Alligator mississippiensis: one gene and its partners. The protein of the gene in region 2 purifies or fractionates together with the protein of the main gene of each other region. This does not show direct contact. Links are inferred from orthologs where the notes say so. Each region holds a gene or a part of one and is shown on either strand. Other genes may lie near its edges. The genes, in order: ILF2, DHX9, HNRNPAB and C1QBP.

Region 1 (7,173 bases), on a different chromosome or scaffold from region 2:
GACGCCGTGTTCCTGCCCAGCTGGGTGAGGGGCCACGTGCCCCCCGGGGCTGCAGCAGGGCCGGTCCGTGCGGCGTGGCCTGCCCTGCCCTGCCTGCCCGCCCTGTGGCTGCCACGTCCTGTTTTGAGGACTCTGTTTCCTTCTCCCACTGCCAAGATCCTGCCGTGATTTATGGGCTGGGCGGGCGCTCGCCCTTCCCTCCACCATGGCTTCCACAGGGCCCAGTGGAAACCCAGGGGCGCGAGGCTCCGTGGCCATGGAGCTGCCCCAGCTTTGCAGCTGTTTATGGGGCTCTCAGCTGTGGGGGGTGGACAGGGAGGGGGTGCCCAGGGTGGGGCAATGGAGGGTCCCAGTGACAGCAGCTAGTGAGAGGACCCTGGGGGGTCAACCCCGAGAAGACCCCGGGGACCCATCATGGCTCTGTGCTTCCCCCCAGGGCTCCGGGTGGCTCCATCATGCTTCCCACTTCATGTCAGGGCTGGGACCCTCTGCCAGGACACCCGAGACATGCCAGGGGTAATGGAGACTGGAGGGGACTTGGCACCAATTTTGCTTGTGCAACAGGGCTCTGCCATGGCATGTCTGTTTGTGTGCACTGTTGTGCGTGCATGCACACACGTGCGTGCGCACGCATGCACGCACACACACACACACACACACACACTCTTGTACCACATTAGGGCTCGATCCAAAGCCCAGGGACATCGGGGGAAACGTTCCAAGGGCTGGCCAACAACTCAGGATTGGGTCCGGGGGGGAAAGGAGGAGCCATGGGGGTGCCCAGCCCTGGGTGCACCCCCGTCTGGCTGTGCCTGGCCCCCCCACCTCAGCTGGGACTGGGGGGCTGACCCCTTCCCTGAGGATGCCCCCTTCTCCAATCCTCAGGCTGCTCCCTTCCCCGATCCTGGAGGCTGGGGGAGCTGCTGGGAGCTCCCGCCCTGGAGGGATGGGAACGGGGAAGGGGGATGCACTTGCCCCCTGACCCATGTGGGGCTTTGCTTCTTCCCGAGCCCCCCAGGAGCAAGGCAGAAGTACGGTCTCCCCAACCCTGGTCACGGCAGATGTGTCCCCTTCTCACCTGTACCCTGACCCCTACTGCCAGCCTGGCCTGGGGCGCTGGGGCAAACCTTCACTGCGCAGAGTGGGCCTGGGGCCTGTGGGGCACATGGGGCAGGGGTTGGGGGCACTCACTCCGTGTCTTGCTCTTGATCTCCTGCACAAGGAAGGTGTAGTTGGCCTTGTCCTGGTCCTTGAAGGGGATGTCGAGCACGGTGAGGTTGTGGAAGCTGGGCAGCTGCACGTAGATGCCCTCGATGGCAAAGTAGCAGGGCCGGTCATCCAGCTTGTCGTCCCAGTACACCAGCATGGCGTGGCGTGTCCAGTTGAAGTGGCGCTGCAGGGCCACAGCGAAGGCGCCCAGCTTGCGGTGGCTGGGGCCAGCCCGTGTGGTCAGTGCATAGACGTCTGCCTTGTCGTCGAAGCCGTGCGCCTCGGCGCCCGCCGTCACCAGGGGCAGGCGCCAGTGCCGTGTGAAGCGGGCCACAGGCGCTGAGGCGTAGATGCAGCCGGGCCCCAGGAAGGCGCTGGGATTTGTGGCCCACTTGAGGTCCACGGCGGCCAGTGGTGCGGCCGAGTCGGAGCACACGCCGTGCTCGTCCTCGCTGCTGCCGAACACCCATTGCAGCCGGTGCCGCGGCAGCAGGTCGGGGCGCTGGTTCACCCGCTCCATGGCCAGCTGAATGGCCGGGCCGACCCGGGGCCAGGCCCACGGGTAGCTCAGGTTGCGGTGTGGCAGCACCACGGCCATGGTCAGGTTGGCGTCGTGGCCTCGCGCCCCACCCACTGCGCTCAGCAGCGCGCCCAGCAGTGCCACGAGTGCCCGCCGCATGGCGTCGCTGCCGTCCCCACGCCTGCCCTAGGCCTGTGGCATCGCGCCCCCGCGCCCTGCCACGGCCCCGCCACCCGGCGCTGCTTCTCGGTGCCGCGCCAGCGAGCGACTGATTATCTCCCGGGCAGGCAGTGCTTTTCCTTCCCCTCATTCAACGACAAAAGGGCTGTTATCATCGCACGGCTCCTTAACCCCTTGCTGCCTGCAGCTGCCGGCCTGCCCCGCCCCCGTGCCCGCAGGGGGAGGCAGGAAGAGATGCCCCCCGAGGGGCAAATCTATCATCTTAATGGGGTGGGGGGGGGTACAAAGGGGGGCGATGCAGGCTGTATGCATTACCCCCCCAGGGCATTCTGCCATAATTAGAGGAGAGGAGGGTGGGGGGTAGTGGGGGCTATGGGACAGTGGGTGCCTTTGGCCCCCCAGGCTGGGGGAGGGGATGGGGCAGGCTGGGGGAGCCCTGGGGTTGCATGGGAGGGAATCTGTTCCCCCCTTTCATCCTGGCAGCTAGGAGGCAGCTGGGGGGCCGGGGTGGAGCGGGAGCAGTGGGCTCATTCTGCACATGGTTGGGGGTTCCCAGGTGTATCCCACTTGACCCCCCCTGAGCCCCTTGGGACCTCGGTACCCACCATGGCCCACACTGGCAGTGCCTGCCCCAGCCGGGGCGGGGGGGGGACGAGGGGAGGGGAAAGGGTTTGATCCAGCTGGAAAAACACCGATGGGTGAAAAACACCAAGCATGCAGCACCCGCCCCCGCAACCACACTGGACCTGATCCCAGCAGCTGGGGGCCTGATCCTGCCCTATCCTGGAACAGCCCCCGGGCCCCAAGATGTTCCCCCGTCCAGTGTTGCCAGGCTCTATGCCACTCCACCAAGTGCCAGCTGCCTGAGTCAGGGGATGACAGGTGGCCCCCAGCCCTCTCCCTTGCTCTGCTCAGGGTGGACCCCAGCGGCCTGGGCCAAGGATCGGGCCCCACTGGGGGGGTGCCATGAGCAGCCGGTCATGCACTCACCCCTGACAGCCCAGATCCTGCCCTGCCGGCTGACCCCAGGCAAGCTTCTTGGGGGACATGTTTGCACCCTTGACCTGGGCACATCCTGCCAGCCCGCTTTCCCGCAGGGGAGCTGCTGGGTCACGCCCCCTGGCAGCTGGGATAAGTGGAGGTGCTTTTGCAGCTTCATTAGTGCAGGACATGGGATTGCCACAATCGGGCATTCCCGTGACCGGGGCACTAATGGGGCCCATTACCCAGGTAAAGAGCAGGGCAGGTAGGTGGGGGCCCTGACACATGGGGAGGGGGTCCCTGCCACCCGCTGCCTCTTTGGGGCAGGGTCCTGAGACCCCTGCCCACCCTTTCTCTGGGCAGACAGGGCAGTCATGAGAAACAAGTCAGGGAGGGCATTGCCCCCAGGAGAGCAGGGGCCTGGGCACCATGACCTGGGGGGCAGAGCTGGGGGGCTACAAGGGTGGCAAGGCCCAGGCAGGGCCTCCCGGAGCCCAGGGGCATGGAGCAGGCCTAGCCCTGGGGCAGCAGCACCCCCAGGAATGGGGGTACCAGGGATGGCAGGGCAGGCCCTGGGACAGTGGGTTGTTTCTGCCCCCTCCCTGGTATGGGAGAGCACGTGCTCCCTGGATGTGCCCCCCCCAGGTGTGGGGAGGCCCCTCAGGCTGCATAGGACAGCAGGAAAAAGCAGGCAGGCGGTACTAATGAAAAGCAGCTAATTAATTAATTACCCAGCTTTTTAATTAACCCAAAAGGAGCAAAAAAGAAACAACTAGCAGAGGATGGTTTCGATCCATCGACCTCTGGGTTATGGGCCCAGCACGCTTCCGCTGCGCCACTCTGCTGCTTGAATTCAGAGCTCTGATGACTCCATATAAGGCTACCTCCAGCCACTCACGCATGCGCAGCGAAGACGCCCATGAGCTGCCACCCAGCACCCATTCTACGCACGTCCCGCGCCACCTTGCGGCCCCGCTCGCGCCCTGCAAGACGCATGCGCAGTAGCACGGGCCCGCTCGCCAACGGCCGCCTTCTTGTTCCCGCCCCCCGGGCCTGTAACTGGCCCAGCGCTCCCTCTCCGATTGGCTCGTTTGAGATAGATGGGGAAGCAACCCAGTAGCCAAACAGCGAGCGAAAATACCAGCCCGCGGTTGGCTGTGCGAGAACCAATCGCCGGGCCGCTTGTTGCGGAGTGGACAGCGCTGGCCGGCGGCTTCTTCTCGGCGGCGGCGGCGGCGGGTTCCATTGTTCGGGGGTAGCGGGCGCCATGAGGTGAGCGGCGGCTAGGGAGGCCCGGGGGGGTCGGGATGTGGGGAGGGGCTGAGGACCCCGCAGGCGGGGCGGGGAAGGAGGACGGGGTGCCCTACAGGGGTTGCAGTCGAGGGGGTGAGTGCGGGGGATGCAAGGGAGGGCTGAAGGGGGGTGGGGGCGCCTCGCGGGGAGGATGAAGGGGGTAGAGGGCTTGGCCGTAGGGGCAGGGGCTCGGGGCCTTGCTCAGCTGTGACTCACTGCCTCTTCTCTCTCCCAGGGGTGATCGAGGTCGCGGCCGTGGCGGGCGCTTCGGGTCCAGGGGCCCTGGCAGCGGGTGAGCGCCGTCTCTGTTAGAGGGTGCTGGTGGGAGCGCTGCCTCCCTAGCCTGGGACCCCACTTTGAGGGGCTGCCAAGGGGGCCCTGCAGGGCCAACAGCCTCTAGCTTGTTCCTGCCCTAAACCTCTGTGAGAAGCGAAGCTTCCTAGACCTTCAGTGCTGGAGGCTGCATGCGAGAGAGCAGCGGTAAAAACGCTGGTCAGATGCAGCTCGCTCTCCCTTCCAGCTCCGCTCTCTGCCCCTCTGACGGGAGGCTGCGCAGCTTGGACCTGGCCTGTGGTCTGACCCAGTCAAAGGCAGTTCTGATTTTTCTCCAGCCTAGGTTCCTAGGGAGAGGGATGCGTCTAGTCACCCATTTTAAAGCTTCTCAAAAGTTTGTCCAGGCAGGGGGGGGGGGAATATTCTTGTCCTTTGCATATAATGAGAACTCACCTCCATTTTCTCCCACTTTTTCCTTTTAGATTCAGGCCCTTCGTGCCACACATTCCCTTTGACTTCTATGTGGTAAGTAACCTCTCGCAGTGCTTGGTGCCGGCTGTATAAAACAGCAGCAGGGTTGTAGTGGAAATAACACTTTGTTGAAGTAAAAAAAGTTGCTTGTTTCTTTTAAGAAAGGGAATGTAATAGCAGAACATCCTGTGGGGCCATAGGAAATAGTGAGTTTCAAAACCAAAAATGTACGTCTGATTCTTGGCCTGCTCAAGTGAGCGGGAGGCAAGTAGGTCTTTGAGGCAGTGTCCATGCAGCGTTTGACAGAGGGTTGAAGACGTGTAGTATGGAAAGCCTTGGTGTTTATCACTAACATGCATCACAACCTATCCCACTGTTAAAGAGTGGAACAGGAAATGAAAATCCTCTCCCAGATCTGCAGCTAGTAGCCCAAAGTGTGCATTACCTTAGCCAGGTTCCCAGAGCAGTAGAGTCTGGCCTTCCTCCAGGTCTTGGTTTCTGTGTGGCCTAAACAGGAATGACTTTCTTCTCTGTCTTCTTATAGAGGAGGAAGAGGAGGAGCTCATTTCCTTCCTTCATTGAGCCTGTCTGGTGTAGGGACACACAGGTGTGGCTTTCTCAGGGAAAATGGGTTAACCATTTCCTTGCCTTACAAGGCCAGGATCTTTGTTCCCATTGCAACAATTCAAGCGGTTTGAGTAACTACAGGGTCTCATTAGGAAATTCGGTATGTCATCTAATAGGTCTCAGATGCTTTACTGCCTTTTAGTACTCAGCTGGATCCATCATTAGAGATATACCTTTTAAGTCCTACCTCTCTATGTCATTTTGTTGCTTGTAAACTAAAAAAGCTTCTGTGCAGAGCATGCATAAATGCCTTGCTGCAGGTTCTGGTAACTAAGGTGCAGTTTTCAGAGACCTGCTCCTGATGCTGGAGCCTCGGTAAAGATGTGGGTAGGAAGGGAAGTTCTTTTTACTCCACTGAACCTAGTAGAAATAGAATGTGCAGCCTGGTTGCCGTGTCCAAAAGGCTGTAAGCAAGAAAATGTATTTGGAAGCTACTAGGGAAAGTGGAGAGGAAAACTAGGATAAGCTTGTTTTCTTCTTAAGTGCTGCACCAAAGATCTTGTATCACTGTGGAGCTGCTGCTTTAACGTTTGCTCCTGTTGCAGTGTGAGATGGCCTTCCCTCGCGTGAAGCCTGCAGCTGATGAGACGGCATTCAGTGAAGCCTTGCTGAAGAGAAACCAGGATCTGGCTCCAACTGCAGCCGAGCAGGTTAATAAAGCTTGCTTCCCATGTGCTTCCTATGGAAAACTTTCCTGAACTCAGACTGGTGCTAGGTTACTCTTAATTCAGTGTAGACTCTTTTGTAACAAACACCAGAAATGATCTTCCTGCAAAGGGAGACCTAGCTTTGCATGTCTCTCGACTTGACCAAGGGACAGAACCATGGCTGGGTGCTAATTCCAGCCTGCTGTAGGATGGAAAAGGGCTATGTTGCTTGGAAAGTGGTTTTAAATCTGTTTTTCCTGACTTGTCTGTTCCTCTGCATGTCTCAGGATTATCCAAATCCCATAATTTCCCAGCCTTTGAGACAAAGGCATGCATTTGTATCTCAGCTTTAGTTGAAACGGTCACTTGCTGCTGCCATCACCGCGTGCTCTCTTATTTTTCAGGCATCCATCCTGTCTCTGGTGACTAAAATAAACAACGTGATTGACAACTTGATAGTGGCGCCAGGAACTTTTGAAGTGGTGAGTCAGTCTTGTCTGCCGAGATGTGCCAGGTCTGCAGGGTTGGTGCAGCTCTTCGGAGGCTGCCTTAGTCTGGTTGGGTGTCTCCTTGTCCTGATGAGGCAGATCAGTTTTACAGCGTTGGTTTCTTTGCTCCTGCCCTTAGAGGCTCCCTCTCGAGGGAGGCTGTGAAGTTGAGTTGTGTGCTCTTGGCTTGTATTAACTTTTTTGGCTTGTTCTCTTGAAATAGCAAATTGAAGAAGTCCGCCAGGTGGGATCCTACAAGAAGGGCACCATGACGACAGGGCACAATGTAGCTGATTTGGTGGTGATCCTGAAAATCCTGCCTACCTGTAAGTGTCCTCTGCTCCTGATCGGGTGCGGCAGTCAGAACCACTCCAATGTCTCACTTCATTTTTTTTCTCTTTCCGTCTCTAGTGGAAGCAGTTGCTGCCTTGGGAAACAAAGTGGTGGAAAGTCTAAGAGCCCAGGATCCTACTGAAGGTTGGAC
Region 2 (7,375 bases):
GGAAGAATCCACTGATACCTGCAAGCAGGGTTGTCCCTGGAGGGGGGGGGCGCACAAATTGGGGAGATTGCCCCAGGCCCTGCACTTTGGAGGGCCCTGCAGACAGTGCCTGCTGCAGTTGCTGTGCACTGCCAGCTCCGCCATGGCAGCTGCACACCACCATCCCCCTGCTTCAGCTGCTGGCCACCCCCCACTCCCCCCCAACCTCCTACTTACCACCCCCCAGCCCCGCACACCCCTAGGGATGTCTCTGCCTACAAGGGAAAGAGAGAGAGAGAAACTGGAGGTGAGCTGACAGGCTTAGGGGGAGTGGGTTGCACTGTGGTGAAGGGAGAAGGAAGACTGCAGGCTGTGATAATGGCTGGGATTACCCAGATCCTGCTGGGAATTCACTAATAAACCAATTTACTTTTATGCTGCTTCTGAGGTGAATTACTATGCCCTCTTTTGCTGGGGAATTAACTTCTTATTTTCCCATTTACATCAAGGCATGGGAGGTGAGTTGCAGGGAGGGAGATTTTGTTAGTCAATCCCACCTGGCCACATAGTCTACGGCCGAATCTCTGAATCAGCATCGAATCTCTGAATCCGAATCACTGTCCCTCCGAATCAGCTGAATCTGAATTCAAGTGAATACTTGCTGCTTTGCACATGCCTATTGCCTACCCCTGCTCTAATGATTGAATATGCTGCCCTCTTCCTTTCTTCCAGTACATACTAGCCAAAGCAGCCATGGAGTTGCAGCAGGAATTGACCCAGGGGTTTCTATAAAGCAGTAGAGAGCACTACCACTAAGTTTTTTTGAGAATGTCATGTATTTTAAGGTTAAGGAGTTCCATTATACATACTGGACCTAATTCTCCACTGCCTTTTACCTTGCGTAGTTATGTATACTATGATAAAGCACTATGGTAAAGTTTAATGTAAAGTGCTATCCATCTCTGTGTACAAGAATTCTGGCAGCATTTTTCACATTTCCTTGACTTGGTCTTCTTTGGGTGTAAGTCTTGCTTTCTAATTGCAGAACACAAACTTAGAAGCCAAGGTAGAGTTAGATGGTTGACTAGACTTTTCCAAAGATGTATAAGAAATTTAAATAAGCTTTCTTTTCAGTCAGACATGGAAAGGGAGATGATCTCCCCATCAGCCAATGAGTATGTGCATCTGCACCGAGTTCTTGTGCTACCATTCCTTTGAGAGAGACTGCAGAGCGCCAGCCTTCCAGGGTTCTAGGTAGAAGTATGCCCATGTACACTCCCAGCCAGAGCTATTCTAGGAAAATTTCTAGAATGTTTTCCCCAAGGCTTTTATTTTGTTACTTTTAGGATTATTTCTAATGAGAATGAAATCTTGTTACTGCTGTTCTAATGATGTTTACAAAACAAGACACTTTTTAAATAATAGGTAATATAGAAATAACCTATCTAAATATGTGATCTTCAAATGAGTAACTTCTATTTGTTTTGATAATCAACAAAGCTACCAAATTATTAAACTGGGTTTCTTCATGAACTTTTTTGTGTAACATTTTGATTATATTTCTGTGGGTTCTGGGGATCATAAACACATTCTTAAAAATAGTTGCATCACTGTTTTCTTTCTGCTTTGGAAAAATGCCCTTTGTGAGGCAGTAGAGGGGCAGGTGCCACTCTACTGGGAATTGATTTCTTTCTTTTTTAAAGAAGTTAGTAATTGTTTTTACTTTTGTTGCAATTTGGGATGAAAACAAATGTTAAGATATTGAAACTTTTCCTGCCGGATTGAAATCCTAAATTGTGTTTACCTCTGCTTAATACATCCTAGTGGCTGGTGCTAGGGCTTGCCAACCCAAGCTGCCCTGGTTCTGTTTTTGCCCCTTCATCTTCAATTTTGACCAAAAAACCCTACACAAAACACAAAAGAATTGGTAATTTTATGCCTGAGCATCTAAAATCAATCCAACCAGAAATACAGTATGAGAGGCACAGCCAGGAATTGTATATCCAGGATACACTTTTATTTTTTTACCTAAAAATGGCAAAGAGTCAAAAGTAGTTTCCATTAATTGTTCCTTTTAGCATAGCAGCCTTCCTATCTATCTCTGTCTCTTCTTTAATAGCAAGGGTGTTACTATTGTTGTTTAGTTCTCTAAAATGCCTAGCTATCTAGATAAACTACTGTGTGTTCCTTGCATAGTGAGGCTAATATGGTTAGCCAGAATGGTTTGCATGTGCCATTGTGCTGGAAAACTAAAGTTAGCATTAGTATATTTAAGTTCTGTTCTCTCAAATGTTGGTTTTTTTGTGGTTATTTCCCCTTCTCTATATGGATCCTGGCCTTCCAGGTGCTGAGTTTCCTGGATTGGGATCAAATAAGCCCTTAAGCACATACTCCACTTTAAAATGAGATGGTCACTTCGACTAAAAAAGGACTATTCAGATACTTGAAGTTAACTATATACAGTATTACTTTGGATCCAGGTGTTGAGTGCTCAAGACTTTGCAGAATTGACTGAAAATTGACACTGGACTTTCACAGGACTTTTACTCTGTGCAAGAAAATGAGAAATCTAAGCTTAGGAAGCAAGTCCCAGCTTTTCTTATGTTCCCTGGTTTATAATAAAACCCAACTTTGTTCTGGGTATAATTCTGCTAACCACCCAATTGCATTACCTTAAACCACACCAACTTTTTATCTCAGCTTCGGGTAGCACAGTGGTGTCAAATACATCTGGTCTTTCAGGCCAAGCGATTGATGCACAACCAACCCACAGACTAGCTGAACTGCATGGGGATGGCCACACAGGCCAGATCAAGCCCACGGACCCTCCCCTACATGCCAGATCCTAGCACCCATGGTGCTCACTCCAGCCAGTCTGGGGCCTGGAAGGAAGAGGCCCAGCGACCTGCCATGGGAACAAGCTATGATACTGCTGGGACTCCAATGCCATGGGTCCTGCCCAGGCATTTGCGTGTTACCAGGAAAAGGTCTCCAGGCCAGATTTGGCTTGTGGGCTATAGTATGTTTGACACTCCTGGAGCAGCAGAAGGGTAAGGCGGCAATAGTAACTTATTCACAACTACTTTTCATACTTCTTCCGTTTCTAGTCCAGCTCCTAGTACAAGCTAGAGCAGCACTTTAACTTGTCCTGGCTAATGTGGTCTCTGCGTAGTAAGTCATGGCACAGCTTCTGTGCCCCCTAGTGCATTCCCCTGCACCTCTTCATCTGCCTGTAGTCTCAGTCCTGGCACTCCTAGACAGTATGATTACATACAGCTGTAACACTTGGTTTTGTTTTTGCATCATGTAAAAGTGACCAATGCCTATTTAACAGCTGAGCTGTCCCCTTTTTTGGCTACTTTGATGTACAAGGAAAACCTCAAGTTTTATTTTTTTAGATTTTAAATTCCTTAATTTTTTTTTTAATTTTACAAAATCAACAATGTACATCTGCTCTTCCTAGGCCTTGCTCCAACACTAGCTGGAAGCTCTCACAGTACAGTTATTGTGAGCCCTACCCCCTGTATGACAGATGCATGTTGAGTCTTTAGCAGAGGCTTACTTTATTTGCTTACTCATTGGAGTTAAAGCAGCAAGAGCTTTAAACAGGCTAATATAAAGACCCTTCACTCCCAGTGGTTTATCTCTGGCCCTTATGGAATCTGCATGACGCGAGTGCTCCTGTCCTCGCAGGGGCCTCCTGCATAGATAGGTGAGCTGGCCATCTATCTGCCCAGGAAGAAAGATGCAGCCAGGAGGACCCCTGGTGACTGGGGGGGCCATCTTTCTGTCCCTCATCCATGCACATCTCCAGGCAGTTTCACCAGCTCCTTGGATTCGTTGGAGAGCCAGTGGGTGCTGGGTGGTGCATGCTGCTCCGTGTCCCCCCACAGAGCACTCGCTGTTAGTCTATGACCCTCGCTCTTGTCTGTTTGCTTTAGTTGTCCCAAGGACTCTGCTGGCGAACGCTTACTAGCACCCTCCAAAAACAGGGTAAGCGTTTCTGTGCTGACTAGTGCGTGGTGGACCCGGCGCTAGCTGCGAGTCACGCAGGCCCCCGGCCGCTGGGGGCGCTGCCCCGCCCCGCCCCTCGGGCCGGCTCCACCACTCTGCTCAGTGCGCATGCGTCCAGCGGGCGCCATTTTGCGGGGGTCGGTGGGCCGCGCGTCTCACCTGTGACAGCGGCCGGGCTGGGAAATAACGACGCAGGTCAGCGGCTGCAAAGCGTAGCTCCGGGCGGAATGGGGCGGTGCTAGTGCGCAGTCGCCGCCGGGCTCCGTCCCACCTGGAAGCTGCCTTTGCGAGGGCTGGGAGGGGCGCGCTGCTGTGGCAGCTGCTAACTGTCGCGTGTGCCCGCAGGGCGGCCCCGCCATGGGGGACGTGAAGAACTTCCTGTACGCCTGGTGTGGCAAGAGGAAGGTGACGCCGGCCTACGAGATCCGCGCCGCTGGCAACAAGAACCGGCAGAAGTTCCAGTGCGAGGTGCGGCGGGGCGGGGCGTCGTGCGGCGGCTGCTGCTGCTGCTGCTGCTGCTCCCGCGCGCTGTGGGGGCGGGGCTTTGAGGGGAGAGTGGGGCCTGGGTGTGGGCGGGGCTGCCGCGGGGCAGGTAGCCGGGCTCCCGGGGAAGTGCAGGGGCTGTGTGAGGAAAGACGCACCCGTGGTGGTGTAGGCCGGGCATTGGAGCGCAGTCCCACAGACAAGTTCAGTGGCGTACCGAGGGTCTCTGGCACCTGGGGCCCCATGCTTACATTTGCGCCCCCACCTCCGTCGCAGAACGGGAGGGAGGGGTCCCCTAGCAGCCTATGGCAGAGCCCACACCCACCCGCCCACCCCCTGTGCCGGAAGCAAGCCCCCCAATAAAAGATATCGTGCACACACACACAACCTGTACCACAAGCAAGCCCCCCCCCCCCCGCCCCAAAGATATCACACAGCCCTGTACTGGAAGCAAGCCCCCCCCAGTAAAAGATAATCACACACACATACAGCTGTACTGGAAGCAACACCCCCCCCCAATAAAAGATATCACACACACACCCCTGTACGGAAGCAAGCCCCCCCCCAAAAGATATCATGCACACACACAGCTGTCTGCCCTCTCCCTGGAGCTGTCCACGGCTCAGTTTCACTCCCCCTCCGAGCCCCCTTTACACTTATGTGCATGGAGCTGCTGCTTGGCTGTCCCGAGCAGCCCTGCAGATGCAGAGGGCCAAGCTGGACTGGACCCGGTGGGGAGCACGGTCACCACACCATGTCTCTGCAGGCAGGCAGTGGCCCTGTGGGGGAGTAGTTCAGACACAGAGAGGAGCCAACTTGAATTTTGGGGGTTTCTAACCCCCAAGGCCCTCCCAGTGCCATGGCCCACAGAGGTGCAATGTGGCAGGGTGCTCCTGGCCTGGCTGGCCTGGTTCCAACTGCCCAGCCCACCCCGCTCCAGGTAAGGCGTGACTCGCCCAGCCCAGCCCTCTCCCTACCAGACAGCGCCACTCAGCCCACAGATGTAGCACAGCTTTTTAGGCAAGACCCCAGTCCTGCCTCCTCTCCTCCAGCCCTATTGGTGGAGGAGGAGCCCTGCTTCCGTCTCACAGGGAAGCAAACGTGAAAACCGCAGTTTTAAACTTGGTGCCAGATATGGGCACTGAGTTTAAACTGTGGCTTTCGCTTCCCTGCTGGTGAGGATCCCAGGACTCCGAATTGGAATGGGCCCCTGGGCACGTGTGCCCAGTTTGCCCGTGCATTAATCTGCCTATGACCTGGCCAGCACCACCCCACCAGGCCTGTGCCCAGGGGCCATGGCCTCCCCCTTGGTGCATCACCTGAGCGCAGGGGACAGCTGAGGTGAAAACAGGGATGGGAAAGAGGCCTCAGGTTTAAAAGTGCTCCAAGGGGTAGACCCTGAGCAGAGCATGCCAGGCAGTGCCCACTGGCCCCTGAATAAATCCAGGGAACCAGTGGATGCTGCCTGGTGATACTCTGCCTCGAGACAGGAAAGTACAAGGGCATGGGAAGTGGCTCCACAGTTCCTGAGGACCCTTCTGGCCAGAGCCCCCTTCCTGGTGAGGTATACTGTCAGTTTGGCCAGGGCCAGAAGAAGGTTGTCCAGAAGGTTCTGGGACTAGGTAGGGCCATGGATGGGGAGTGCGTAAATAAACAGGTGAGGGGAGAAGTGCAGCCAGAACCTCAGTAAGACATTCTGGAGGAGGCAGTACAAGGGCTGTAGCTCCATCTCACCCAGCTCGCGGAAGGGCCTGTGGGAAATAGGCCTATTTGTCACCCTTTAAAACGTGAGCCCAGCCCACCAAGTCTCTCATTGGCTTCCCTTAGGCAGGGAAGCTACAGGAAAAACGGACAGCATATTTCTTGGAGCAAATAATGAAAAAACAGAGAAGGAAGTGCCACTCAGTTTCAAAACAAACATGCCGAGTGGGGACACTGAACAGAGCACACCAAACAGCACCCACTGGCCCTCAAATGAGTCCAAGGAGCCAGCAGGCACTGCCTGCTGATACTTTGCTTGGAGACAGGAGTAAAGCAGGGCAAGGAAAGCAGTCCCCAGGGACCCTCCCAGCCAGAGCCGCATTCCTTGTCAGATACACAGCCAGCTCGGCCAGGGCTAGGAGGAGGTTGACCAGGAGGTTCTGGGACTTGGTAGGGCCATGGACAGGGAGCACTTAAATAAACAGGTGAGGGAAGAAGTGCAGCTAGAACCTCAGCAAGAGGTTCTGGAGGAGGCAGTACAGGGGCTACAGCCATGTCTCTTCCTGCTCACAGAAGGGCCTGTGGGAAATGGGAGACTGGGCAAGACAGACCTATGATTTGACCCAGTAAAGGGCAGTGCTTATGTATGTGTGCGGCCATATATATGTAATGAAAGAAGCAGTCACCAGTGAGGTCTAGTATGTGTCAGATGTACGAGAGGATTTGGTGACCCTGTTGTTTTGCTGGGAAGTGGGTAAAGATAAGCTGTTCTTTCCTTTGTGTGGTGTGAAGCGTTGTACCAGCCTCATAGATTCATAGATGTTAGGGTTGGAAGGGACCTCAATAGATCATCGAGTCCGACCCCCTGCATAGGCAGGAAAGAGTGCTGGGTCTAGATGACCCCAGCTAGATGCATATCCAACCTCCTCTTGAAGACTCCCAGGGTAGGGGAGAGCACCACCTCCCTTGGGAGCCCGTTCCAGACCTTGGCCACTCTAACTGTGAAGAAGTTCTTCCTAATGTCCAGTCTAAATCTGCTCTCTGCTAGCTTGTGGCCATTATTTCTTGTAACCCCCGGGGGCGCCTTGGTGAATAAAACCTCACCAATTCCCTTCTGTGCCCCCGTGATGAACTTATAGGCAGCCACAAGGTCGCCTCTCAACCTTCTCTTGCGGAGGCTGAAGAGGTCCAGGTACCC
Region 3 (7,538 bases), on a different chromosome or scaffold from region 2:
ACACTAACTTCACTTAAAATCCAAGAGGATAACTGTGGAGTATCCCAAGCACTCATTACAAAAATATGACAAAGTTAACTGTTCCAAACTATTTTTCATCCACGTTGATGCCCAATACTTTTACAGTATTTTGTTACTTGCCACTTGAGAGTTTTCTAGTTTCCAAAGTAAAAAGGGTGGATCAATTAAATATTCCTAGTTAAATCTGGGGTAAGACCTAGCATCAGTAAAGGTGCAATCTATCAGCTGAAGGAAGATAGCAAGAGGGAAGTTAGGCTGACCTATAGGCAAAGCAGTGCCTAACCTGTGAGGACTAGAAGGCTTAAAAATGAAAATGATCACCTCCTGAACTTATTGCAAACACCCTCTGACCCCTGACAACTTGGTTCTGCACAGAGACAAGACCTTGCTCTAGAACTGGGCGAATGCCTTTGTATTGATGCTTTTGTCCAGTTACTAAATAAGAGTACGTTTTCATCTCCACTACAGTCACACTGTAATGAAGTCAGGGAATAATCAATCTGCAGTTCTAAAAAGACACCACTTACAAAGATCTTTCCTTAAAAAACCCCCACCTTTTTAAAGGCTCACTTCCCATGTATTGGAAACAGGGGGGAGGGGAGGGAAGTTTAGGCCCATCTAGCCACAAACACAAAATACTGGCAAAAAAGATAAAATTAGGAAGTGAAAAAAAGTTTAGCAACTGGGGGGAGAACAAACAAAACACCCAAACAAATCAGCCAAGGCAACCAGAATTTATTGATAAAGGATATCCAACTCCCTTGGCTCTTAATTTAAGAGAGCACATGATACAGCAGGTTCATGCACATCAGGTAAGAGAGCTACATCATCCATCTCAGGAATTTTTGATGCCACAAACAAGTAAAGTAAACAGTTCAAAAAAGATCTTAGGCTCTGTACATCTGTAAGGACTCCCAAATCAGTTTAAGGTGGGCCTTTGTTTAGAAGCAGCCCAGTGACTAGATACCAGTTCCTGAGTGCATTTTAGCTTAATTGAATTGCAGTAACCTGAATTTTCTGAGGTTAATTTAAGGCTTCCAATTCCACCTGGTAAAGCATATACATTTATGTTCCCTGCAATCTGCAAGGTAGATGCTCATCTTTTTAGATACAGCCTGCAATATGCATCTGGTAAAGAGAAATCCTTCCTTCCCTCCACCTAACCTAAAACATTATTCTTTCAAATACTGAGCAGTCATGACCAAATGCATTACAAGATCTGTCGAGTGCATTCTGCTGTTGTTGTTAAACAGTTTGTTTGTTACCCTGTCACTAATCCAGCCCTGAAGAACCAGATCAGGTTTTACCAAGCCAGGGACATGTTTACGCACTCTTTACCACAACAGCAGAATAATGGCCATTGGTTTCATTCTCCCCAGAACAGCTTTCACTCCCTGTACAAGAGAAGTTTTGCAAGGCTGCTCTGATCTGTCCTTTGCTAGTGCTTCCATAATCTTTGGGGGCTTTAAAAACCAAACAGCAAAATAGCCCTGTAGTGGAAGTCTTGAAACTCCCAGTTGTGAGGCTAGAACTTTGCTGTCCATAAAGTACTTTGCCTAGTAGGGATGGGGCTGCTACCAGCATACTGAGCTCGTTTCTCACCATGGCAGCATTTACTGCATGTTATTACAAATCTTTGTCTTGGAATTGGATATAGGAGTAGGAACTACCTGGCTTCACCCAACATTCAGGCCAATCATCTTCTGTACAGAAATATACTTAAACTCTAGACTTCCTAATACCTAGTCTAAAATCCTCTAGTACAGAAAGCCAAAAGGTCTCATTTTCCCCATTACAACTATTACTTCCTCTTGCATGGTCACTACTTTTGGTGGCAGGATATTGACATTATGAGAAAAGGCTTCCTGCCAGTGCCCTGGGGCCCTGCAGCTTAGCCTGCCACTACACTGTGATGCTCTCCAATCATTTTTAACCTTCACACTTGCAAGAGATTTAAAAAAAGGACTTCTCACACCCACATTTCCTGGCCCTCCCACCTCCCAGGAGAGAGAGAGCAAGTAGAGACCTAGCATAGCAGTTCCCACTCTGGTACCGGCACCACCCTCAGTACGCAGACAACCCGTCCAGGGTACATGTTAAATTTGGTATAGTTACTTTATGACAAAAATGACACGAAGGGCCAACTGAAAAAGATGTGCTGGTGGCACTTCAGGCTGCATCATTTCCTAGGCCGGAAGGGACCTCGGACCATCAACCAGGCCCAGCCCCTGCACCAAGCAGGACCCACAACTGTGGGGGGGGGTCATGTTTGAACACGGGTGCTGCGCCATCTGTCAGGCCAGGAACCACCGACCATCCCCCTCGCCCAGGCCCCCCCCCCGCCTCATTTCTGCCGACGTGCACCGCTGCATTAAAACGAAACGAAGCGTCTGCTGCACCCCCACCCTCGTCACGAAAACACCGCCCGCGGGGGCCTTTCCTGCCCGGCCCGCGGGGGGCCAGGCGAGCAGGACAAAGCCCCTCCACCCTGCTGCGGGTGACACCCCAGGCTCCCGGGGCCACGACCCCCACCCCCCGCGGGCGGCTCTGCCCTGCCCTGCCCTGCGCAGCGCCCGCCCCTCCCCCTCCGCGCTGCTCCGCTCCGCTCCCCTCCCCCGCCGCAGCCGCCACATGGCGCCAACAAAAGGCGGCCCCAGAACAAAGGAAGCGGCGGCCCCGCGCCCCCGCCGCCGCCTACCCCGCGTCCTCCTCGTTCTTGCTGGCGTTGATCTGGTCGCCCTCGGCCCCGTTCTGGCTGCCGGGCGCCGATGCCGCGGGCGCCGCCGCCGCCGTCGTCGTCGCTGCCCCCCCGCCGGCCTCGGCCTCGGCTTCGGCCTGCTGCTGCTGCTGCTGCTCCGCGCCGCCCTCGGCCGCCTCGTGCCCGTTCTGGGTGGCGCCCGCCGCCGCCGGCTGCTGCTGCTGCTCCGCCTCGGACATGCTGCCTCTCCGCGGCGGCGCCTGCAACACACAGCGCGGCTCAGCGTCGGCCCCTGCCTGCCTGCCTTCCCCTTCCCGGCCCGGCCCCGCGCTCACCTTAAAACCGCCCCAATAAAATCCGGGCCGGCCGGAATCGGATTAAAACCCCCGCGCGGCTGCGTGCGTGCTGCGCTCCCCCCGAGACACGTCTTCTCAGGGCCGCAGCCTCGACGCGTGGCCGCCTTTATAGAGCCGGAGAGCGAGCCACCCGCCAACAACAAGCTCGCTGGTTGGCTCCCTCTGGCTGTCGCTCAAGGGCCGGGCGGTGCCCATTGGTGGGTTCCAGGAGGGGCGGGGCTTGGCCTCATCCTTCTGCTTGGGGCTGGTGGGAGCCTTGCACCTCCTGGGGGTCGCTGCGCTGGGGCCGCCTTTTGTAGGGGTTTGAGTCAGTGGCTCTCCTTCCCATCTTTTATTTTTCACCTCTTCTTTCTTTTTTCACTTATAGAAAAATATTAAGGCCATTTTATTTATTTATTTTATTTTTGCAACGACTGCTCAGGAAGTTCTCCACTGGGCAGGATGGTTTTTTCACCCCTTCGGTTTCTCATTTGAAACCTCTGGGGTTGCCTTCCGAATCGCTGCAGCGTGCCCGGGAAGGCTCCCGGTCGAGCATCGCCACCCTCAGCGCTGCGCCTCGACGGCTGTGGCCGCCATCAAATGTTGACGTGTCTTTAGCTTTCGAGGAAAGGGAGCGTAGCGCGGGAGCCCCGAACCTGAGGGGTGTCACGGCGTTAAGACGGATGAGCGGTATAGCCTTCGCTACCTCTGGGTGCTTGCTTCAGTGCTTTATTTCCATATGAAAGGAAAGCATGGGGGGTGTTGTACACGTTTTGTAGTAACCGGAGTGATCAGGTCTGACTTTGGCCTTGTTTGAAGCTTAGCTTTGTCACCTCAGGTTTGTTGGGTTGTTTGTTTATTTTTTTCAACTTGAGTTTGCAGAGTAGCTAGAGTTGTGGAAACGGTTGCGTGTACCCTAAAGCTTTCGAGGCACTGGATCTCGAGTATAATTAAAAACGAAGAGAATCGGACTTCCTACCCGAGCTATGCTGTGACACAGTCCAGTGATGATGGGTTGATCTTTCATTGCTCGGTAGGGCCCTGGGCTGACTTCTTGGAGCGGAGTGGAGGCAACTGACATGTTACTTAAGCGCCAGCCTTGTAAATTCAGTCAAATGTGTAACTGTGTGTGAGCAGTCTTGTTGATTCAGACGTCTCTCATGGTGGAAAGCTTATTTTCATAGCGTTGTACTGGTTCAACTAAATAAGTGTAAAAGGCTATGCAGGTGTATTTATTTTTTGCTTAAACTGGTTTGTTTATTTTTCTAGACCTGCTAGTTTAGCAACTAGGAGACCTATATCTATATCTATATCTATATCTATATATATAGGAGACCTATATGTATCAGAATCCTATCCATCCATCTATCTATCCACCAGGAGATCTATAAAATACAGGTATAGATATAGATAGGTGGATAGTCTCCTGGTGAATAGATGGATAGGATTCTGATGTTATCACGTGTGTGTGGGAGTGAGAGCCTTGAACACGTGCCTGTGCCTCAGTCCAACCTGCCCAAGGGTGAATTTGAACCCATTGACATGCAGCCAAGTTTGAGGAGCCCAAAACAGCTCAGGTAATCATGAGCTTCTGCATAATCTGCTGTAGTTAGTATCTCATTCTGCCTTTTTCAGGGGGAGGAGCTTGGCTTTGGAGTAAACCTTCAGTGTATGTATCGCCACTTTCTTTTTTCCAACTGAGACTACTTGGCATAAGGATGGAAGTGACAACTGATTCCTGAGTTTCTTTGTAAATGTTGCTGAATGACAAAACCATTTGCCTCCTTGATGTTTTGAGATTTCTTTCTTGGTTCTCTTTAGGGTGCTGCACCTACTATTCTAATTTAGGATGATGTGTCTTCTTGTAGAGCAACCCAGCCTGCAATCCAGGCTACTCTAGGGCAGATCATCTTAAAAACATATTTTTACCCTCCACAAAATTAATTTGCAAAGGTGGTAATGCAGTAAAATCAAGAGGAAAAAATTAGATTGATTTTCTCCTCTTTGTAACAAGAAAAGAGCAAATGTTACAGAATAATTTTGTGGTCATGGTAAACAGAAAGTAAAATAGAATTGGTATGTGGAGTTTAAGGTTTCAGTCCAGTGCTTTTTGAAGTCAGTAAAGCAGTTATCTTTCCTGCTTGGTGCAGTGGGCTGGCCCGATGATCTTCCGAGGTCCCTTCCAGCCTTGCAATCTATGGAACAATATGAAACGATAAAGCCGTTCTATTGTTTGAGGCCCTGAACCAGACCTTTTAAGCAAACCTTTGTATGGTTATGAGGTCAGGTAAAAAAATAGGTGCTTCTTACGCAGCGGGAATTCACTATTTTGAGTGTGTTTTCTAGCCACTCAGTTGTCTTGCTGCTTGTAGTGACAGCTATTTTAAATAGTCCAAGCTGAAGTTTATGAGCTTGTGAAATGCACCCAACGGCTGTGGGAATTATAATACAATCTCTGTATATCGCTAAATCCTTAGACATAGTGTTTGTTTGTATTTTCTAATTCATTGGTTTTACATTTTCACTTGTCACAAATAGAGACTTCTTAGAACAATTTAAAACCTTCACAATACAAATAAATTTACACCCCTAGGAACAGGCTTGCCCCACTGGTGAATATTATGTTCTAGCCACACAGGATATTAATATATTCATATCCCACATTTTTTAGTTCATATCCAAATAGGTCTCACTTTTCACTTCACTACAAATTCTACAGCTGGCACCTTAAGGTTAAAATCTGAGACAATAGAGAGGCCTTGGACCATGCCCAAGCCAAGAAACTAAGGACTTGTAGAGACTCGGATGAAGAGTATATCCATAAACACCTGTTTATAAAAAACAGACCTAACTGCAAGGTGTGCAGCCGCATCTTGGCAGTCCTTGACTGCCTGTGGCAGGTAATGCAAATTAGAACAGCCTCCAGGATAACAGGGACTTGCAGAGTCCTTTTTGGGCCTGACATTTGCTACATCACAAACTCCACTGTCAGCATCACAGAGGACCTGAATCCATGTTATTTATTATTTGTAACCATCAGACCCCACTGAATAAGTTGTTGTAAACAGTCCTTCTGGGCTGTTGGAGCAATTTGATTTTTGGTCTTCGGCCTGTATTCAAAGGCTGTGGTTATTTCACAACAACCACACCCCCTCTCGTGTGTTGTTTCTTACATAACATATCTACTGTTTGGGGAAAAAAAAAGATCATGTTTTCATATGCCGATTGCCAGATCCTGCTAGTTTCATTATTATTATTATTATTGACACCAAGTTGAGTTTTATTTCTGTATGGATCTGGGAGGTCTTGGGCCCAGTTTCGGCACTCTTCTTTTGAGTAAGAGCTGATTGGTTGGTTGCTCCCACCCCTCCTCTACAGTCTTTTAATGCAAGTTTTGTTTGCAACCTTCTTCTCTTACCCACTTCTCCTCTTCTCTCCTCCAAATACCTGGGAACTAACATTCCCCTGCCCTGTTTCCCTTTCCTTTCTACTATTAACTAAACTTGCCCCCAAAAGCCTGGGAGCTAACTTGCCATTCACTGCCATCACAGTGTTCACTCTCTCTGGTGTAAATTATCCTTTTTCTCCCATTCTGTGTCTGTCTTGCCTATTTAGAAGCTCTTCAGGGCAATAACTGTGATTATTCATTGCTTTGGAACATGAGGCCCCATTCTTGGTAGACCTCCAGGCACAGCTGTAATAAATATGTTCAATAATATCACCAGTATGCAAGTTGTTCCATTAATTTACTAGGACTATTCATAGATGAAGCTTTACTCTAAATGGCAAAGTTGGCCTTCTATGATGCACAGATTTCAGATAAAGGAAGACAAGTGATAAAGTAGCAGTGATTGTATGACTTCTAATGCTAGCTTCTTTAGAAGTTATCCAATCATTGCTACTTTAGGTCTTTTCTTCCTTTAGCTGAAATCTGTTACTCAATATTCTAATTTTGAAATCAGTATTAACAGTGCCAAATATTCAGAGCACATTTCTAGAGGCACAGGTTTATCCACACCCAGTTTCCAGGCATGCAAGTTCCAAGGTTGATTGAGCACATGTAAACTATATCTGTCTCTTTACTTTGAATCCCCTTGCTTTGGCAAATTTAATTTGAAGGGGGATAATGAGTTACATTTACAAATATGTTGGAAGAGCTTCTTCCACACATGAGAGCAGCCCTGGAAAAAGGAGAAAAGTGTTCAAATAGCTGATGTGGGCAAGGGAACCAGGTATCCTGGGATTCATTGGAGGTGAGAATTAGCCTTTGGGAGCTAGATGGGAGATTGTAAGTAGGATAAAATTATACCAAGAAGGACCTTGAAATGGGACATGAGTAGCTTATGTCTGAGGTGATAAACAAGGAGCCTCTAGCTCAGGGGTGGGCAAAATGGGGCCCAGGGACCGGATGCAACCTACTAGGCCATTCTATCTGGCTCACGGGGCCCCCCAAAAATTTAGAAAATTAATATTTAACTGCACCT
Region 4 (7,354 bases), on a different chromosome or scaffold from region 2:
AGCATACCCAGATTCCTCCTCAAACCTCTAACTTAAGTTGGATGGGTCAGAAATTGGCTGATGGGGCGCACCCAGAGAGCGGTGGTGGACAGGGTGTACTTGATCTGGCAGGATGTAAATAGTGTGGTCCCCCAGGGCTCGGTCTGGGGCCTACACTGTTCAACGTCTTCATCAGCGACTTGGACGAGGGGGTGGAAAACACGTTGTCCAAGTTTGCCAATGACACCAAGATGTGGGGAGAGGTAGGCACGCTCAAAGGGAGAGAGAGGCTGCAACTAGATATAGACAGACTACAGAAGTGGGTGGATGGTAACAGGATGGGCTTCAATGTGGGTAAGTGCAGGGTGCTGCACCTGGGGAGAAGGAACCCACAGCATACATACAGGCTGGGGAGCTCCCCCCTTGAAAGCACAGAGGCAGAAAGGGATCTTGGAGTCATTACTGACTCCAAGATGAACATGAGCCACCAATGCCAGACCGCAGCCAGCAAAGCCAACCACACCTTGTTGTGCATCTGAAGATGCATCTCAAACCAGTCCAGAGAGGTGATACTCCCCCTCTACGTGACATTGGTCCGGCCTCAATTGGAGTACTGTGTCCAGTTCTGGGCACCGCACTTTAAGAAGGATGTGGCCTGCCTCAAGAGAGTTCAGAGGAAGGCCACCTGCTTGGTTGGAGGGCAACAGGGCAGGCCCTATGAGGAGAGGCTGAGGGGCCTGAACCTGTTCAGCCTCAGCAAATGGGAGGCTGAGGGGGGATTTGGTGGCTGCCTACAAACACGTTAGGGGAGATCAGCAGCAAATAGGAAGGGCCCTATTTCCCCCAGCAGCACCTGGGGCAACAAGGAACAATGGCCAGAAGCTGCTGGAGAATAGGTTCAGGTTAGAAATTAGGAGGCACTATTTCACTGTTAGGGTGGCTAGGTTCTGGAACCAGCTTCCTAGGGAAGTGGTCCTCGCTCCTACCTTGGGTAAATTCAAAAAGAGGTTGGATGAACACCTGTCTGGGGTGGTGTGATCCCAGTGCGTGCTCCTACCAGTGGCGGGGGGTCAGACTAAATGATCTAGTCAGGTCCCTTCTGACCCCTAACTACTATGAAGTGCTCAGGGATTAGCGAGTTGGTTGCCCCAAACCACACTGGTGATTTAAACAACTACCAATACCATATACTGACTCTGCTCTCCCTTGTAACTAACTGTTGGAAGTCAGTGACCTTATAAAAAGATCAAGGATCAAGCCATTTAAGTTTTTGTGTGCACTGCAAGTTCTTAGTGCCATTGGTATCAGCCAGACATGTGAAGAGACGTGATCCCTGACTACTACAGCCAGACCAGTACACAGCTGTAGCGTAAACGCAGCTCATAGCACTGAGCTCTCCCTGATACGACTCATGGACAGGGTGGGGGCACCACACCAGGCTCTCTTTGCTCTATAGCACAGTAGCAAGGAGCTCCTTGCACAGACCTGGCCTTCATTACAGCAGGAAGGGAAGGCAGCTATAAGATCAACTACCTTCACTTGCAACTATAAAAAATTCCTCCTGCCCTGGCAGAGATTATGCCAAGTGGCCAAAAGCTTTTGCTACTGTAGGCCGGGCTTTTGCTACTGTAGTAATGGGAAAAAATAAAAGTAACAACAATCTGCATTATGCCAGCATTAAGCACCTTTGTGTTCTGAAGACCAAGTTAACAGTGTCTGCCCAAACACAACTGGGCAATGGCCTGACTTCCCCTCTACCCTACAGTGTACTAACTGAAAGGGAACACATAGGCTGTAGGTTTACCTCCTGTTCATCAGCTTTCTGTCCTTCTTGGGGCTCTTCATCAATCACTGGTGGGATGCTGTTGTTAATGTTGAACGTGACTGAAATCCTTTAACATCACAATAGGAAGAGTTAGTTGTACAACCCACATTAACTGTAACCCTACTCAAAGTTTCAAGTGCTGAACTCAAGATGCGAACAGGATTTGAAGTGTATTAAGCATCCCCCTGAATCTCCCCTGTACCTCATACAGCGCACTGCTCCCCAGTTTATGTGTTTTAAAATACAGCCATCTGCACCAAGTTTAAACTCCGTAAGTGCCCTATATTGACTAACAAGGATATTTTCAGTTTCGTAGGTTGAATTCTCTAGTTTTTCTTCTTGTGTGAAATGGTGGCATGAAGTTTTGGAATACACGGGATAGGAAACAGGGCAAAATTCTCCGTGACAAGCTCCCTTTTCCAAGAAAAGTAATGAGTATGAAACATCTAGCATTTCTCCTTGGCCATTTTTGTTTTCTCCTTGGTTGTGAAACAAACGTGACAAAAGCCATAAAGGAAATACAGAGCGCCTCAACCAGGGACGGGGCTGAGGAGGGGAACGCAACTAGGTTACAAGAAATACATAACCCCGGGGGACACTGGGAAGCAGCACTTAGTTCTTCATTAACATGCGCATGCCTCTTAAGCACATGTGCGCACCCAGCTTTATATACAGGGCTTTTTTTTTTGTTTTGTTTCCAGTTTGCTAACATCAAATAACATGAAACGCACAGATCCGCATCACTTACTTCTCGCCAGATACGTTCCGCAGCAGTTTGGCCTCGGTGCCCTGCACTTCCAGCTCCCACCCTCCGGACATCTCGGGCAGGGATTTGTGCTTCTGGATCTTCTTTTCTTGTTTGATCTCATCCATCAGGAACTCGGAAAACACTTTGTCCCCTTGCGAGGAACAGAAGAGGTCATTTGGGACAGGAGACATTTTGCTTCCTGGACCCGAGCTCCACCCCTGGCTTTCCCACCGACCCCCAGGTAAAAGAAGGGGAAGATTTCTGCGTCACCCTTCGCCGGCGCTGCCAGGCGGGGTGAAGGACTCAGAGGCTGCCCGCCCTGAGCAGGGTGCGGAAAGGCCCCAGGCGGGACCCGCTGCCCTGCAGCAGTGCAGGCCCAGGGCCAAGGTCACTCAGGCCGGAGGCTCACCCTCGGTGTGGAGACCGCCGCAGCCAAAGGACAGGCCGGGCGGGGGCCGCAGGAGCGCGGAGGGCCGCGGGCCGCCGGCCTCGCCGCAGAGCAGCCAGAGGGAGCGCGTGAAGGGGCGCGCGGCGGCGGCGGCGGCAGCAGGCGGGCCCCGCGGGAGGCGCGCGGCCGGGCGCAGCAGGGCGCGCGGCGAGCGGAGGGCGCCGGCGGCGGCGGAGCGGAGCGCTTGGGCTAGCAGCATGGCGTCTGGCGCGAAGCTAGAGAAGAAAGGCAGCGACACGTGCGAGAGGGAGTGCGGCCGGCCTGACCTCTGCCCCGGAAGCCGATGCCGCCAGCCGGAAGCGCGCTTCCTGCCCCGCCCCTTCCGCCTCCCGCCCGTGGGGCCGCCTGTTCGAGCTGCGCGCGCAGATACCCCGGCACGAGCCGACGCTCTGCAGGCGCTGCGTGACGGGAAACGGGCAGTTGTGCAACTAGTCGTTTCTAAATAACCCCAAACGTCGTTGAGAGACCGCCCCAACGACATGTGCTTTTATTTGACAGGCGTCACGTTTCTGTACGACGCCGGGGGCAGAGCTCTGCAACTCCCCGCTCCCACCGCTGCCCGGAGGCCCCCGGGGTGCAGCCGGCCACGGCCAAAATGCGCCCTCAGCGCCTTCGCCAGCCGTGGACAATACGGAGAAAGAGGCAGGGTCAGCGAGACGAGCGCCTACGTTTCGACAGGCACCCGTAACACGAAGTGTCACCCTTTGCGCCTGGGAAGAGACGGACGCGTGCTGCGACTCCGGGGTCGCTCGGGACACGCCGCGTACCTGGAGCGCGCCGGTTTACGCCAACGCTGCCCCTCGCCGCCAGCGATTTGCAGATTAGTTGGAACAAAGTCCAGGTTTTACAGAAGGATTGCTCATAGTTTTTGCGGACCGAGCAGAACAAAGCTGCTCCAGGACAAGCGAGACGTAGCCAAAGCTCGTGCCCAGAAAAGACGTTTTAAATGGGAAGCACAGCTCATCCCCCCTGCGCGCACAGCAGGCAGCAGCTTGTTGTTCCCACGGTTAATTAACGGTGTCAAAACTGGTTTGCAAATATGATCCCCATTAAAATGTAAGCCACCCCCGCCACACACTTTTTTCTTTTAAGTTGGATGTTTAAGAACGCAAGAGGGGACTAAACGCCGCATCACTTAGAAAGCAAGATACCACCACCACTCGCATTAAACTAAGCACGTTTTATTCCACAGTGACACTGCGTTTACAAAACTGGTCCCTCTCCCGCCCTTTTCGAAATCTAATCTGTTTTAATTCACCTCGGCCTAAAACTACCAACAGACTTCTGTTGAAATTGAAAAGCTGCCTCTCTCGGAGAGGTCCCGGTAGAAGTACTCGCACGGATATTGTTCAAAAATAACTTCTACATTTTTATCCGCCCCTGCTCTGTCACATGGAGCAGCGCATTGTGCTCGTTCCCGAGGGGAAAGCTCTAGAGTCGAGCAATGAGACTGGTCCAGCCTTTCTTAGTTCTAGTATAAAACACAGGATTAAAAAATAAGATTGGATCTTATTGCAATGTTTTCCTCCAGTGAAGAAACTGATGGCTAGACGCTCCAACGGGGTAAGCAGCAAAGACTGCCTAGGACATGACAAATGTTGCCATGCCAGAAAAAAAATATAAGGCAAGGCAAAATATAAATTAAGGGGGGAAGAAAAAGCAGAGAAATGCTGGTGTAAAGCCCTAATGGAAGTAATAAGTGTTTGATGATTAAAGGGTTCTCAATGGAAGTCTGACTCCAGCAGACATCTTCATAGTCTTTTTGTGAAAGTTGCTACCAAATAGCCTGATTAGCTAAAGCAATAGATCAGATAGTGCTTGAGGTTAGCAAAACATAGAGCTTGGTGTGTGTGCATGCACCATAGTTAGAGGGGGGTTTTAGTGCTAACATGCTGGGCTTAGTCTGGAACAGGGCCTGGGGGTCTGCTTTGACGCCTGGCTGTCGGGTCAAGAGACACCTCTCCTGGCAAAGACGACTGGCCAAACACGATTGGCAAAATGCAGACACTGGCAGTCTAATCTCTACACACACACAAAATATTCTGAGAAATAATGTTCAGGAGTAAAAACAGCTCTAACAGGTTGCTGACAACCGCTCTTGGGCACTGCATGACTATCGAGCCCAGACGGTTTATGTCTCAGACAGGCACAGGCAATGAATGTCAATTCAGGGAACCCTTTACTGGCCCTTGGATGCCTCAAAATAAGGCGGAGAGACCGACATTAGGCAGAGATGTCTGATGAGGTAAAAGACATTAGCACCTCCCCTCCTAAAAACATACATTTAAAAAGGCATTTTCTCTACATATACCTATATCTATACAGAGAAAGAAGAACGATTTAATTTTTTTTCCCCCAATAAAACTTGCAAAGGATACAAGGGCAACTGTAAAAAACCAAACTCAAATCTGCTCAGTAGAGTTTTTGGGATCTCATTTCTTTATACGTACCCCAGTAAAACTTGAGCTCATCTTAAAAATTGGAATCTGATGCCCCTTACTCTGCCCAACTATATACATATATATATATATATAGATTCACACACATACTGCATACATTACGTTCGCCCTTACATAATTCCTTGTAACCAAGGATGATTGTTCTAAGCCAGCAGAGATTCGCGAGGTCCAGCTTTCAGGAAGAAGCTGTTTTTCTGTAAGGTTGTACCTGATTGCCAAAGCAAAGCTCTCTTGCTTCTGTTTGTTCATTACAAAAAACATCTGATTGTGACCCTAAAAATCCCAGGCAGATTGTCCAACATCACCAAGTACTGGTCAGTTCTTGGCTGTTCTTAGCTTCCTGTGGAAATAATCTGGTGCAGCGTCATACAGCCAGTCTGCATCCACCACACACAGGTCCCGCATGTAGCATTTGTTGGTGTGAAGCAGTTCATTGTAAAGGACACAGGCTGGCTTGCAGTGGAAAAGGACAGAGGATGGGTGGATGGCCACCAGCTGGTGGGTGTCTGCAGTGACATAGGTGCCATCTGGCTGTAGCTCTGCAGCGTTCATAAAGAGGCTGTGAGCTAGGCAGCGGCGGATGTTCCCCGTATCCGACCGGGAGGACTCGATGGGCATGGAGAGCTGGTCAGGAACAAGAGAGAGAGAGATAACATAGCACCCTACATACAGGCTCCCTACACCAACCTAGAGTTGGGCTGCCATGTAAGCCAGGATGGGCTTCTGCAAGGCCACGGGCTCAAAAAGGAACAGGAATGCAAACTCCAACACTGCCGATGTCTTCCCCTGTGGAGATGGGCCAAGCTATAGCCCAGGTATAATCCCCAGTCCCACTATACTGAAGAACCTCTAGTCTTACCTGGCGGTGTGCATTAAGCCTACACCAACATGTGCAGTTGAGGACATAGGGTCAGGTTTTCCTCCAGCCCCACCTGACAAGCTGCCTACCCAGCCATGAAAATGCAGATCAGATCTAGCCCAGGTGCTGTTAATCCTCCATTACTATCCCACAGTTCCAGCTGAGCTGTAATTTCTTGTCCATCACCTCCCTTCTACACCAGAATTCAACTATCTTGGCTCAGTGCTGGAAATCCACAGTTGCCTGCTCCGTTTCTGCGGCACTCCTGCACCATATGCACAGAGATGAGAAGCTGTGCAGTCAGGCAGGCAAGCTCTGAGCCACTCAGTAGTGCACACTTAATGACAGCCTAATTAAAAGTTCTCAGTGTCACATCATGTGCTTTCATCTTCACAACTGTCCACCCAAACAGTGAACAACTCCACTTGGAAGTTATCCACATAAAGTGCTGTTCTCATATTACTGAGACAGGCCTCATGCTACAAGACAGCAAACTGGCCGGCGCACACATCCCACAGATTAGCTCATTAAAGCAAGCCACTTCAGTGCTCTGCTTAGGACCATAGAATATCTCACTAGAAACCCCTCACAGCACACAGGCTAGATCAGAATCATTCTGGACATAACTACATGGATCTGGCATAGACAAGGATTTGCATTAAGGATGGCTCAATATCATTTAGGCTAGCTCAGGCTAACTACCTTTAAGACATGCCCACAGATCTGCCGCCCAGGACAAGGCCAAGCTGACTTCTTTATGAGACTGAGTCAGTTCCAAGCTCATCAGCACTTAGACTTGGAATTGAAGTTATGAATGCATTTCCCTCTGCTGGCATCTGGGACAGAGAAACCATTTGGGGGCAGAAAAGATACAAAGCCAACAATGGAAGAAAAGTCATATTGCAAAGAATTACCTTTACACATATGTCCCTGAGCTGAGCTCTGACATCTGATACTAGCAGCATATTCCGGCCATTCACAAAGTTCTCTTTGCACCACTCCTGAAAGAGAGCAAGCAGGAGATAAAACAATCCAC

Evidence for each region.
Region 1: the proteins of DHX9 (region 2) and ILF2 fractionate together in Homo sapiens (co-fractionation; 5 studies listed by BioGRID and IntAct, with this or other methods). This does not show direct contact. The link is inferred for Alligator mississippiensis from reciprocal best matches to the Homo sapiens genes DHX9 and ILF2.
Region 3: the proteins of DHX9 (region 2) and HNRNPAB purify together in Homo sapiens (affinity purification with mass spectrometry; 3 studies listed by BioGRID and IntAct, with this or other methods). This does not show direct contact. The link is inferred for Alligator mississippiensis from reciprocal best matches to the Homo sapiens genes DHX9 and HNRNPAB.
Region 4: the proteins of DHX9 (region 2) and C1QBP purify together in Homo sapiens (affinity purification with mass spectrometry; 3 studies listed by BioGRID and IntAct, with this or other methods). This does not show direct contact. The link is inferred for Alligator mississippiensis from reciprocal best matches to the Homo sapiens genes DHX9 and C1QBP.

What each region holds. Positions count from the first base shown.
Region 1 is NC_081838.1:13,197,930-13,205,102, forward strand, and holds the start of ILF2 (interleukin enhancer-binding factor 2), read left to right. Parts: upstream 1-4,069; 5' UTR 4,070-4,157; coding exon 4,158-4,162; intron 4,163-4,418; coding exon 4,419-4,475; intron 4,476-4,938; coding exon 4,939-4,981; intron 4,982-6,099; coding exon 6,100-6,204; intron 6,205-6,605; coding exon 6,606-6,683; intron 6,684-6,912; coding exon 6,913-7,015; intron 7,016-7,100; coding exon 7,101-7,166; intron 7,167-7,173. Other genes in the region: NPR1 (atrial natriuretic peptide receptor 1), read right to left, coding at 1,192-1,888. UniProt on the Homo sapiens protein: Chromatin-interacting protein that forms a stable heterodimer with interleukin enhancer-binding factor 3/ILF3 and plays a role in several biological processes including transcription, innate immunity or cell growth.
Region 2 is NC_081828.1:53,696,236-53,703,610, forward strand, and holds the start of DHX9 (ATP-dependent RNA helicase A), read left to right. Parts: upstream 1-4,108; 5' UTR 4,109-4,188; exon of another isoform or gene 4,189-4,338; 5' UTR 4,339-4,350; coding exon 4,351-4,461; intron 4,462-7,375. UniProt on the Homo sapiens protein: Multifunctional ATP-dependent nucleic acid helicase that unwinds DNA and RNA in a 3' to 5' direction and that plays important roles in many processes, such as DNA replication, transcriptional activation, post-transcriptional RNA regulation, mRNA translation and RNA-mediated gene silencing.
Region 3 is NC_081832.1:73,224,639-73,232,176, reverse strand, and holds the start of HNRNPAB (heterogeneous nuclear ribonucleoprotein A/B), read right to left. Parts: upstream 3,153-7,538; 5' UTR 3,055-3,152; intron 2,980-3,054; 5' UTR 2,959-2,979; coding exon 2,720-2,958; intron 1-2,719. UniProt on the Homo sapiens protein: Binds single-stranded RNA. Has a high affinity for G-rich and U-rich regions of hnRNA. Also binds to APOB mRNA transcripts around the RNA editing site.
Region 4 is NC_081837.1:15,043,990-15,051,343, reverse strand, and holds the start of C1QBP (complement component 1 Q subcomponent-binding protein, mitochondrial), read right to left. Parts: upstream 3,249-7,354; 5' UTR 3,200-3,248; coding exon 2,962-3,199; intron 2,704-2,961; coding exon 2,553-2,703; intron 1,872-2,552; coding exon 1,784-1,871; intron 1-1,783. Other genes in the region: ATP-dependent RNA helicase DHX33, read right to left, coding at 5,775-6,083, 7,233-7,319.